Yarrowia lipolytica: one gene and its partner. The protein of the gene in region 2 interacts with the protein of the main gene of each other region in a biochemical or structural test. Links are inferred from orthologs where the notes say so. Each region holds a gene or a part of one and is shown on either strand. Other genes may lie near its edges.

Region 1 (4,146 bases), on a different chromosome or scaffold from region 2:
CCCCAAAACTGTATGTTCCAGCCCTTCCACAGCGAAACCGATAGTACCATCGGAGTCTCTACCATCTCTCTTACGTACACTACCTCCTCTCAGTGCGTCTACTCCTTTCTACAGGGGCTCAAAGCCGCATTCAAGTTTTCACCCACGAGACTTTTCTGGTCCCGTAAAAAGCCCCCTACAACTCTCAGAGCCAACGGTTGCGGCCATATCCCGGTGAAAATACGGCTTCCCGTCCGATCAGCCATAGTCAAGGCACCAGAGAAGCCCAGTTTAGTATTGTAGTGGGAGACCATACGGAGAATCCTGGGGTGCCTGCAATCTTTTTTAGTCGCCCAAAGCAGCTTTTTTTTTTTTTTTTTTTTCATCAGACGAACGCTTATGCCAGGGAACGGAAACGCCTATGTCAGAGGAACACCTACAGTATGTACTGTCTCCAGCTGGTTTGAGAACAATGCACTTGAATCGTTTCAATATCTCATTATACAAACATTTTGTGGAAAACAACACCGGCACATGCTAGACGACATCACTCATCCTGCCAATCAACTTGATACCGTCGCCCACCTTGCAATTCTCCGTCACTCCCGGGTCTCCATAGACCTCAATCTTCTGCAACAGGGGACAGTTTTCCGCCAACAACTCCACACACTCGTCGTTGATACCCTTGCAGAAGCCCAGGTCAATGTCCTGCAGCCCCGGGAGACTCTTACACACCGTCTTCACCGTGTCGACCCCAATCTCTGCCCACGAGTTGACGCTGATGCTCTTGAGCGTCGGTCCCGAGTTGTCCACAAGCACTCTGAACGAATCGTCACCCAGAGCAATGCACTTGCGCATGTGGATTTCACTGAGACCGGGGTTTTCCCACTGGTAGAACAGTGATGCCACTCCGTTGTCGGTCAGCTGGTCCACATGACTCAGAGACAAGGACTCTAGAGCTGTACATGCCCGCAGAGTGCCTAGAGTCTTGTCTGTGAGCGCCGAACAACCATCGAGGTTGATTGACTTGAGTTGGGGACCGCAAGTAGATACCAGGCCACTGATGAGATCATCGGAAACAAGTGACTCGTCTTGAGGATAACTAATCTCAATTTCCTTGAGGTTTCCCAGGGTTAGAGCTGCCATTTCGTATCCCATGGGGTCGGTGCATCCCTCGAGTCTGCTCAGCACCAACTTTTCCAGCTTGGGGCACTTTTCACACATGTACACAATGTTTTCCGAGGAGATTCGGTGGCTGTTTTTGATAGTGAGCTCCTTGAGACCGCCTCCTACCATGTCGAAGAAGACGTTCCAAGTGTCTCCAGAAATAAGAAACGCTCCATCGATGTACAGAGAGGCCAGCGACTTGAGCTTTTCGCCCAGATAGAGCAGGTCTTCCTTTCGCAGCCGCCCACACATGCCCAGAACCAACTCCTCCAGATTGGGACAGAAGGAGCCAATCATTCGGAGTGATTCCGAGTCGATATTGGAGCAGTCCCAGAACTCGAGGTTTTTGAGCTGGGTGTCGAAAAAGAACTTCATGGTTTCCGAGTCCAGTCGACGGTTTCTCGATAAGATGCGGCTGATTTTGTTCTTGTTTTCGCCTCCGATATCTCCTAGAGCCTCCACATGGTCAATATGGGTGGTGATCAGAGTGATACACATGTCCTGGAGCTTGGGCACTCGGATGTACTGTTTCTGGTCGAGAAGCGCCTCAGCCTGTTTTTTCCGCAGCTTTCGCAAGTTGTGGTCCCGCTTCTTGGCCTCCTTTTCCTTCTTCACCTCCTCCATGGTGCAGTCGTAGCACAGCAGCTTGAGGGCGTCGTTCTTGTGGTTGCGGGAGAAGGCGGTCACCACAAACAAGACGCCGCAAACCGCACACGTGTCCTTCTGGCCCGGGTTCTTGACTCCCTTGATCTCCTCCTCAGATGTCATGTCCGGATCGTCTTCGGACTCGTCCCAGTTGCGTTTTCGGCGAGCCAGATTGCGGATGCGAACGATATCTGGGTCGTCTTCGTCGGCACTGGACCCGGACGAGTCGTCCGTGTTATTGTCCGACAGCTCGATCGCCGTCTGAGACGTTTGGCCCTGATCTCCGACCTCCAGACCCACCTCGTCAGGTGGCTCGGAAGACTCTCGTCGTCGCGTGATTCCCTGCTCCTTGAGAAACTCCGTCAGCGCGGAGTTGGGGCCACGCACCTCGCCCGAGCCCGTCACAGCCTGTCTGTGTCTGTAGTGGCGCATGTGTCGATGGGTGGCGTGGTTCTGTTTTTTTTGCCAAGTTTCGCCTCCCATCACCAACCTGTAAATTGGTGCAGATGAGGTGCATGACAAACGCACGCCACCAAAATCAGACATATACGAACGCAACAACGGCGGCGATTATCGATGAGGCGATAGGAGGGAAACGGGAGACCACATTACGGGATTCTACAGGGATCCGGTAACTTATAGCATGCAATAACACGTGTTGCTGTACATACCTTCAAAGACACAACTGCGGTTGATGAAGTCGATTTCACGGACTCTCTAAGATGAGGAGGTTTGAGACCATGAGGAGATTTGAGACCATGAGGAGATTGCTCTTCACCATGTTGTTGAATGAACTCGACAATCTGTCACTTTACTCAGACCCAGTCCGTTATGTCACACTCATGGTGTTGAAACCAGAGCCGCAACAAACAAACACCAGATTGACCTTGTACACCAGATCTTGGATAGCTTGGAAGCAAAGTTCTAGTCTGGCCCTCATGTATCATCCCTTCCAAGATGGTAACGAAAACCCCTCCCGCTTCTCCCACTTCTCCCACTTGTTGCTCCTGCCTCTATCCTGACTTGACCAACCTTGCAACCCATCACCAAGAGTGAATCCCATCTTTTTCAACAGACTGTCGTAACCACTACAAACAAGCATCCAGTAATACGCGCTAACAATTGCTTAACTCTGCCATCAACTAGTTTAGCACCGGAACCGTATCTGCTGAACACCAATCAACCGCGACATACCTACCATACTCATATGAACAAGTACACACATAGACTTGTTTCCCACAGAAGAAAACAAATATTCAAAAGGCGTGACTCTACAGAAACGGCTCCAGTCACGAGACCTCTCTCCTCTCTCCGCCCTCCCCCCTTCCGATGTAACGCTGGTGCGATGGTTCCGCTAGCACCAACTTTACTGCGATGCGGGGTTGGCAGATTCTGGGCGGAAAAAAGCAAAAGCCGGCGACAAAAGTGGCTTGAGGGGCAATACGACGTATTTTTTGTGAGTATTTTCAAGTCTTGACTGCGCATTTCCTGTTTGCATGCTCGGGGAAGTGTGCTGAAACAAGTTGCCCAGCATGGTTTACAGGTCTAAATCTTGAGGGTATGGCTGAGTAAGTGCTCGAGCCTGTGGAAGTGTGGATATTTTCCAAAGTGAAACCTGGCTAATTGGAAAACAATATTATTCTCATGAAAGGCCCTTTACTGGCCTGTCAAAGGTTGGCGTTACTTTTTCAGCCAGAGACGTGGTTGCAACCGAGTGTATGGGTGCGTTCCACAGGTCCCGGAGATGGATTAAGGGGAAAAGAACCGATATGAAAACGTTTGGCAAAGTTGAAAAATGCCTCCGACGTGCAATTCATTCAATGCTTGTACGGTACCTCCTCCATACAAGAGCCTTCATCATACAGAGTCTGAGTGTCGACCGCCGTGCCTTGTACCTTGTTCCACCACCAATTACTAGAACAAGCCGAGCTACGAGGACTTGAGACACGTGCTTCAAACAGTATTGTCAGTCGACTAGCGATAAAACCAACGCTTCTACGTTTCTGATTGTGCGTCTTGTACAACGGGCGGCACTCTGATGGTTGTAACCTACACTGGGATTTAGTCCGTTTTACGCCCGAGAGCGTTTCATTGTGCAAAGAGGGGGAACTATATGGCATTGTTTTGCAGAGTTTTTTGTCCTGAATGCGGTGAACTCATCAGAATAGCGTCTCCGTGGACATCATGCCTTCTACCGACAATGTAGCACCCCCAGAGACGTCATTTCCACTCCCGCAAATGTGATGCACTTTGAAACAACTCCTCCCTCATCGCAAACATGCACTCAATCTGCACTCAAATCGCCGTCTTTTGTGCAATTACCTCTCTCTAAGATCTTGCTATTGTTTTTTATTT
Region 2 (4,988 bases):
TTTTCTCACAGTTTTTCGATTTCGCAACGGGTCAATATCAGTTCTGACGTTCTGACAGACCCTAGCCATACGTACCTCGTATCGTAGTCCTACTCCTTAGAAGTGAGACTGCCAAACTAAAGAGTTGATGTTGGTGCCGGTAGATGGCACGCTGTGGACGTGTTGACGGCCCATAGCCCATTTTCCCAGTTCTCAATGTTCGAGGCTTTCTACGGCTCTGGCTTCCTCATGGCCTGGCTTCTGGACAGTGGTAAGACTTGGCAGCTCATATACTGTTCTCTGGATATGGAGATAACACTCCAGACACTACAGGACTCAAACCATCATCATCCTCCTTCTTCTGACACCACAAGTTCTTTTTCGTCCCCAAATATCGCAGCATGTGTAGACTCCATGAATGCACACGGTGTTGGCGTGCTTCTCCAAGATCGAGCATCGCAAGATTGCACAGAGGTGTTTGTTGACGGTTATTCCATGGTTTATAGAAAGGTTGACATCCAGTTGATAATACAGAATCTTTGACGGCTCAAATGCTCCATAGGAAGTTGTCTTTCGGTTGACAGGCGCTGTCACTTCTACATGACCTACAGACTTCCATAGAGCATACGTAACATCTATCATGTCTATACTTCTAGTTAGTGAAAAGAAACTGCATATCAGCAGGGGTTAGCCGGTTGATGGCTCCGTCATCTTGTCCCAGAGTCGCATGAATCATACTGGCCTTCTTCTCTTGAAGCTCAATGATACGCGACTCGATGGAGTCTTCGATCGCAAACCGAGTAATCTTAACAGGTCGATGCTGTCCAATACGATGGACTCGGTCTCCAGACTGCCACTCCACCGAAGGGTTCCACCAGGGGTCCAGGATGAACACCTGAGATGCCTCGCATAGGTTCAGAGCCACTCCTCCGGCCTTGAGAGACACCAGAAAAACCTCCACCTGTGGGTTCTCCATGAAGTATTTGATGGAGTTTTGTCGCTGGGTAGGGGACATGTTACCCTGGAGCTTGACGGTTTGGAACCCTGCTCGTCGAAGCCGCCACTCCACCAAATCCAGCATAGATGTGAACTGGCTAAAAACAATGCTTTTGATGGTCTGTCTGTCGCTTCGCAGCTTGTATAGCTCCTCGACCAATGCCTCAATCTTTGTGGAAGATCGCCAGCCACCAGTCATGTTGATTCGCTGAACAATCGATGTTTTCTCCTTGGAGTTGGTCTCCTGTTCAATAGCGGGGGCATTCAAATCGATAGTCAGGTTGATATGACAGACGGGACAGTCAGAGGCTCCAGAACAGTAGTCCTTGATACACACTCGACAGAACGTGTGGTGACACTTGGACTTGATGGGTTCTTCGGCCTCATCGTCGCATAGCTGGCAAATGATAGCATTGTCAATGTATCCTCCTTCTCCCTGGTTGGCACGTCTCAGAACCAAATCAGGATGATCTGCAATCTGTCTCATTCGAGTAATCAGAGAGAAAATGTTGGCATAGTTGTTGAGAACCACTCCCTGTGCCACATAGGTGTTGAATTTCCGGTTCACGTCCGAGTAGATACTCTGGTAGAGGTCTTTCTCCTCCTCGTTAAAAAAGTCCCGTCGAATAGTGACGATTCTAGGGGGTAGACCGAGATCATCTGCTCTCTCGACCTTGGTTCGACGCAGCATAATGTGCTTGAGCAGTTTCTGGATGTTGCCGAAGCTCTCCTTGCCTTCTTTGCTGATACCTCCCTTCTGGATATGTTTCAAGAGCACGTGGTTGAAGTAGTTTGTGTGGTCCATGGGTCGATGCCCGCACGTGACACATGTTCGGTTGTTGACAAAGCTCCAGTCATGAGATCGGCAGGGGCATTTTTTGCAAAAATACTCGCAGAACGGTTTGATTCCGAGGAACCGAATCAGCGAAAACATTTCACCGATTCGGTTCTGAAGAGGAGTGCCAGAGAGACAAAGCCGTTTCTCGGTATTGAGATTGAAGGCGGCTCTGGCGGTGTTACTTGCCCGATCCTTGATATTATGAGCCTCATCTAGCACAACTCTTCCCCATTGAACTTGATGCAAAGGAGACTTTTTGTACTGCTTTCCCTCGACTCCCTTGCGCACAAAACCGCTCTGTTGACGTCGGTAAACGCTCTCTAGAACCGCATAGGTCGTCATCACACAGTCGTAGCCCTCCAGATCTTTCACAGAGAATGAATCTTTGTTGGCTCCATGGTAAACAGCCACTTTGAGAGAGCCCGCAGAATGGTCGTTAATTTCATTGGCCCATTGCATCAGAGCAACGGTAGGGGCGACAATGAGGTTGGGCTTGACTCCCGAGGCGATGATCAAGGCAATCGTCTGGATAGTTTTACCCATTCCCATTTCATCAGCAAGAATACCGCCCTTGTATTCTCCCTCCTCCTGCTTCAAAAGCCAGTTGAGACCCTCTTGTTGAAACGGCAGCAGAGTTACAGCCATAGACTTTGGCTGTTCGGCCTTTTCAACCTGGATCCTCGGTTTATTGTCGAGATCAATAAAGGTGTTCTCCAACTCAGGATGCTGTTCAAACAAAGCCTTGGTAGTCCGGTCGTAGTATTTGAGATACCGGGGTTTTTTGTTTCCGTCTTCATCCAGCTCATCGTAGTCGTCCTTCTTGGCTTTCTTTTTAGCTGGAGCTCTTCTCTTTTTGGGTTTCTCTTCTTCGCCCTCCTCCAGATCATCCGCAATCATAAACCCTCCATCTTCCACGGCCTGTTCTCGATCAGACTCATCGCTGGCCTTATACTCATCACCGGAAGAGTCGTCACTCACCACTATTGCCCGCTTGCGTGTCGCCTTTGGCTTTGTGGCTCGGGATCGGGTGGCGACTTTAGCTCGTGTAGCGAGCGACGACGACGAAGAAGCCTCGCTATTGTCATCAATAACGGCTCTGGAACGGCCACGTCTCTTAGGCGCGGCAGCCGGCTCCTGACTTGAAGCAGATCTGGTCTTGGATGGGTCCTGAACCACCTCATTACCCTCGTCATCGAACTCCTTGAGCTGGGCCTTGTTAGTTGCAGCGGTCCTCGGCTTCCGCTTGAACGTCGGCAGTTTTGTTTCCTTCTTGGGCGCTTCGGGGGCTGGACTGGCGTCGCTGACCACAAATCCGCCGCCGTCTTCGCTGGAAAGGTCGCCGGATACTGTCATGGTCTTGTGTCGGAGAGGTGTGCAGCGGGCTTGAGATGCTGAGATGCACTGCACGATAAGAAAAGTTCCCAACTGAAATTTGGATCGGTCACTTTAAGCTTACAGTGCCTATTTGGGCACTGATTAACTCCGATATCTCCGGGACGCGGTGGAAAGGACAGAAGAACATTTTAAACCGATTTTTTCGGTCTTGTGGTGTATTTCGGAACTCCATCCCGTTTTTCAATTTGTCTCAGCTGCTTCTACGGCATTGTAATTTGATGTTAAAATGATATATGAAATTTCGCCACCGAGCCGCATCACAGTTGAGCATAGACGGGTGGAAGAACAGTAGGAAAAAAGACACAAAATACGGATAAAATCGAGAAAATTACGGGAAATTAAGCTGATTAATATATATATATATATATATTCTTGTGTCGGGTTCTTGCGGCTTAGTCGCATCACTCATAAGGGCGGTTAGCAGTGTACACATAGGGATCATGGCTATAAGTACATCAAAGATGCGCACTTTTGACTTGACAATGGGCGATGGAAAATAACAGCCTATAGGAGTTCATTCAACCTAGGATTCAACTGATACAAATAATACTGTAGTATCGTGTCGTGGGTTACCTTGGGGACACAGATATGTGCAGTATTGAACCAATTGAGCAGATTATACAGTGTTTGTCCTCACCAGAGTGTTTTGGTGCTGTGTGCTAATACCAGACCAGAGACAAGGGTGTGCTATAACTTCACGAAGAGAAGTTGAATGTTCTGTAACCTAGAATATTGTGATATATGAGCATTTCCAAACCCATTCGCGGAATTTTCGTTATTCACGTACCTTCCTCGGTTGTTCGAATGATTCCAAATTCTGTCTAAACAAAGTCTAAGTATTAGGCTGAGTCTTCATCATTCGACATACAGCAATAAAATGAATTATTGTATGGAAATACTTTTCAAAAGTTGCATTATTGACAATCTCTCATTGTCCTCTTTCTGGTTAGAAATTTATTATATCCCTGGCGAATTTAGATCATCGAATTTGGGCCCCCAGCTGGCTTTTCCCTTAACCATTAATCTAACTATACGACTCTCTAGCTCAAAATTCACTCCAAGAGCACATGAAAGACTCCAGCCACGTAGATTTTAATACCATTCGGGAGCTCCAGATATTTCCAATCATTTAACCAAAACCCTGCTCCTCTTTGTAGCTTTTTATTGGCCCTCGGCTCAAGATTGTAGGACAATGGGGATATACCTGGCTATCTAGTCTAGAAATTGTTTGTACTATACTAGCATATTATGGGTCACGGAAGACAAGCCACGGCTGTTCTATTGGTCCAAGGCACTCTAGTCTGTTCTAATGGTATCATCCCCACGGCCCAGTTCAATGGCACACTCCTCGACCGCGCTAAGACAGCCTCTTCCTAGAGAGCTATACTATGGAGGCCACTGCGATATCTTTCAGAACCCTCGTGTTGTAGAATGGCTCGGTTGTGGCGTGTCTAGGGATTGAGTGGTGAAGTGTCAGATACTTGTAGTTGTAGCACCTTCAGTGGCCAGTGTCTAGACTATTGAGAGGTCATGCTGGTGGCCAGGCCAGCAGTACTACCTGTACAGTCACGCCAAGACCGAAAGTCGGTTGATATTCAGAAAAAAAATCATCCAAAGAAACATTTTCCACAATGAAACAGTCGTACAGTGCCTCAACTTTTATTGGCAGTTCTTATCATACTTGCACAAGTACTCCTACGTCTTGGCAAGCCACATAACTGGTGATCTTCATTCCCCTCGGGTCGAAAAAAACCAGGGTTTGGCATCTTTCTGCATGCTT

Evidence for each region.
Region 1: the proteins of YALI1_F02047g (region 2) and YALI1_D26808g form a complex in vitro, tested with the Saccharomyces cerevisiae proteins (2 studies listed by BioGRID). The link is inferred for Yarrowia lipolytica from reciprocal best matches to the Saccharomyces cerevisiae genes RAD16 and RAD7.

Annotation. Positions count from the first base shown.
Region 1 is NC_090773.1:2,678,501-2,682,646, forward strand, and holds YALI1_D26808g (uncharacterized protein), read right to left. Parts: upstream 2,338-4,146; coding exon 517-2,337; downstream 1-516. UniProt on the Saccharomyces cerevisiae protein: Component of the global genome repair (GGR) complex which promotes global genome nucleotide excision repair (GG-NER) which removes DNA damage from nontranscribing DNA.
Region 2 is NC_090775.1:201,552-206,539, forward strand, and holds YALI1_F02047g (uncharacterized protein), read right to left. Parts: upstream 3,167-4,988; coding exon 632-3,166; downstream 1-631.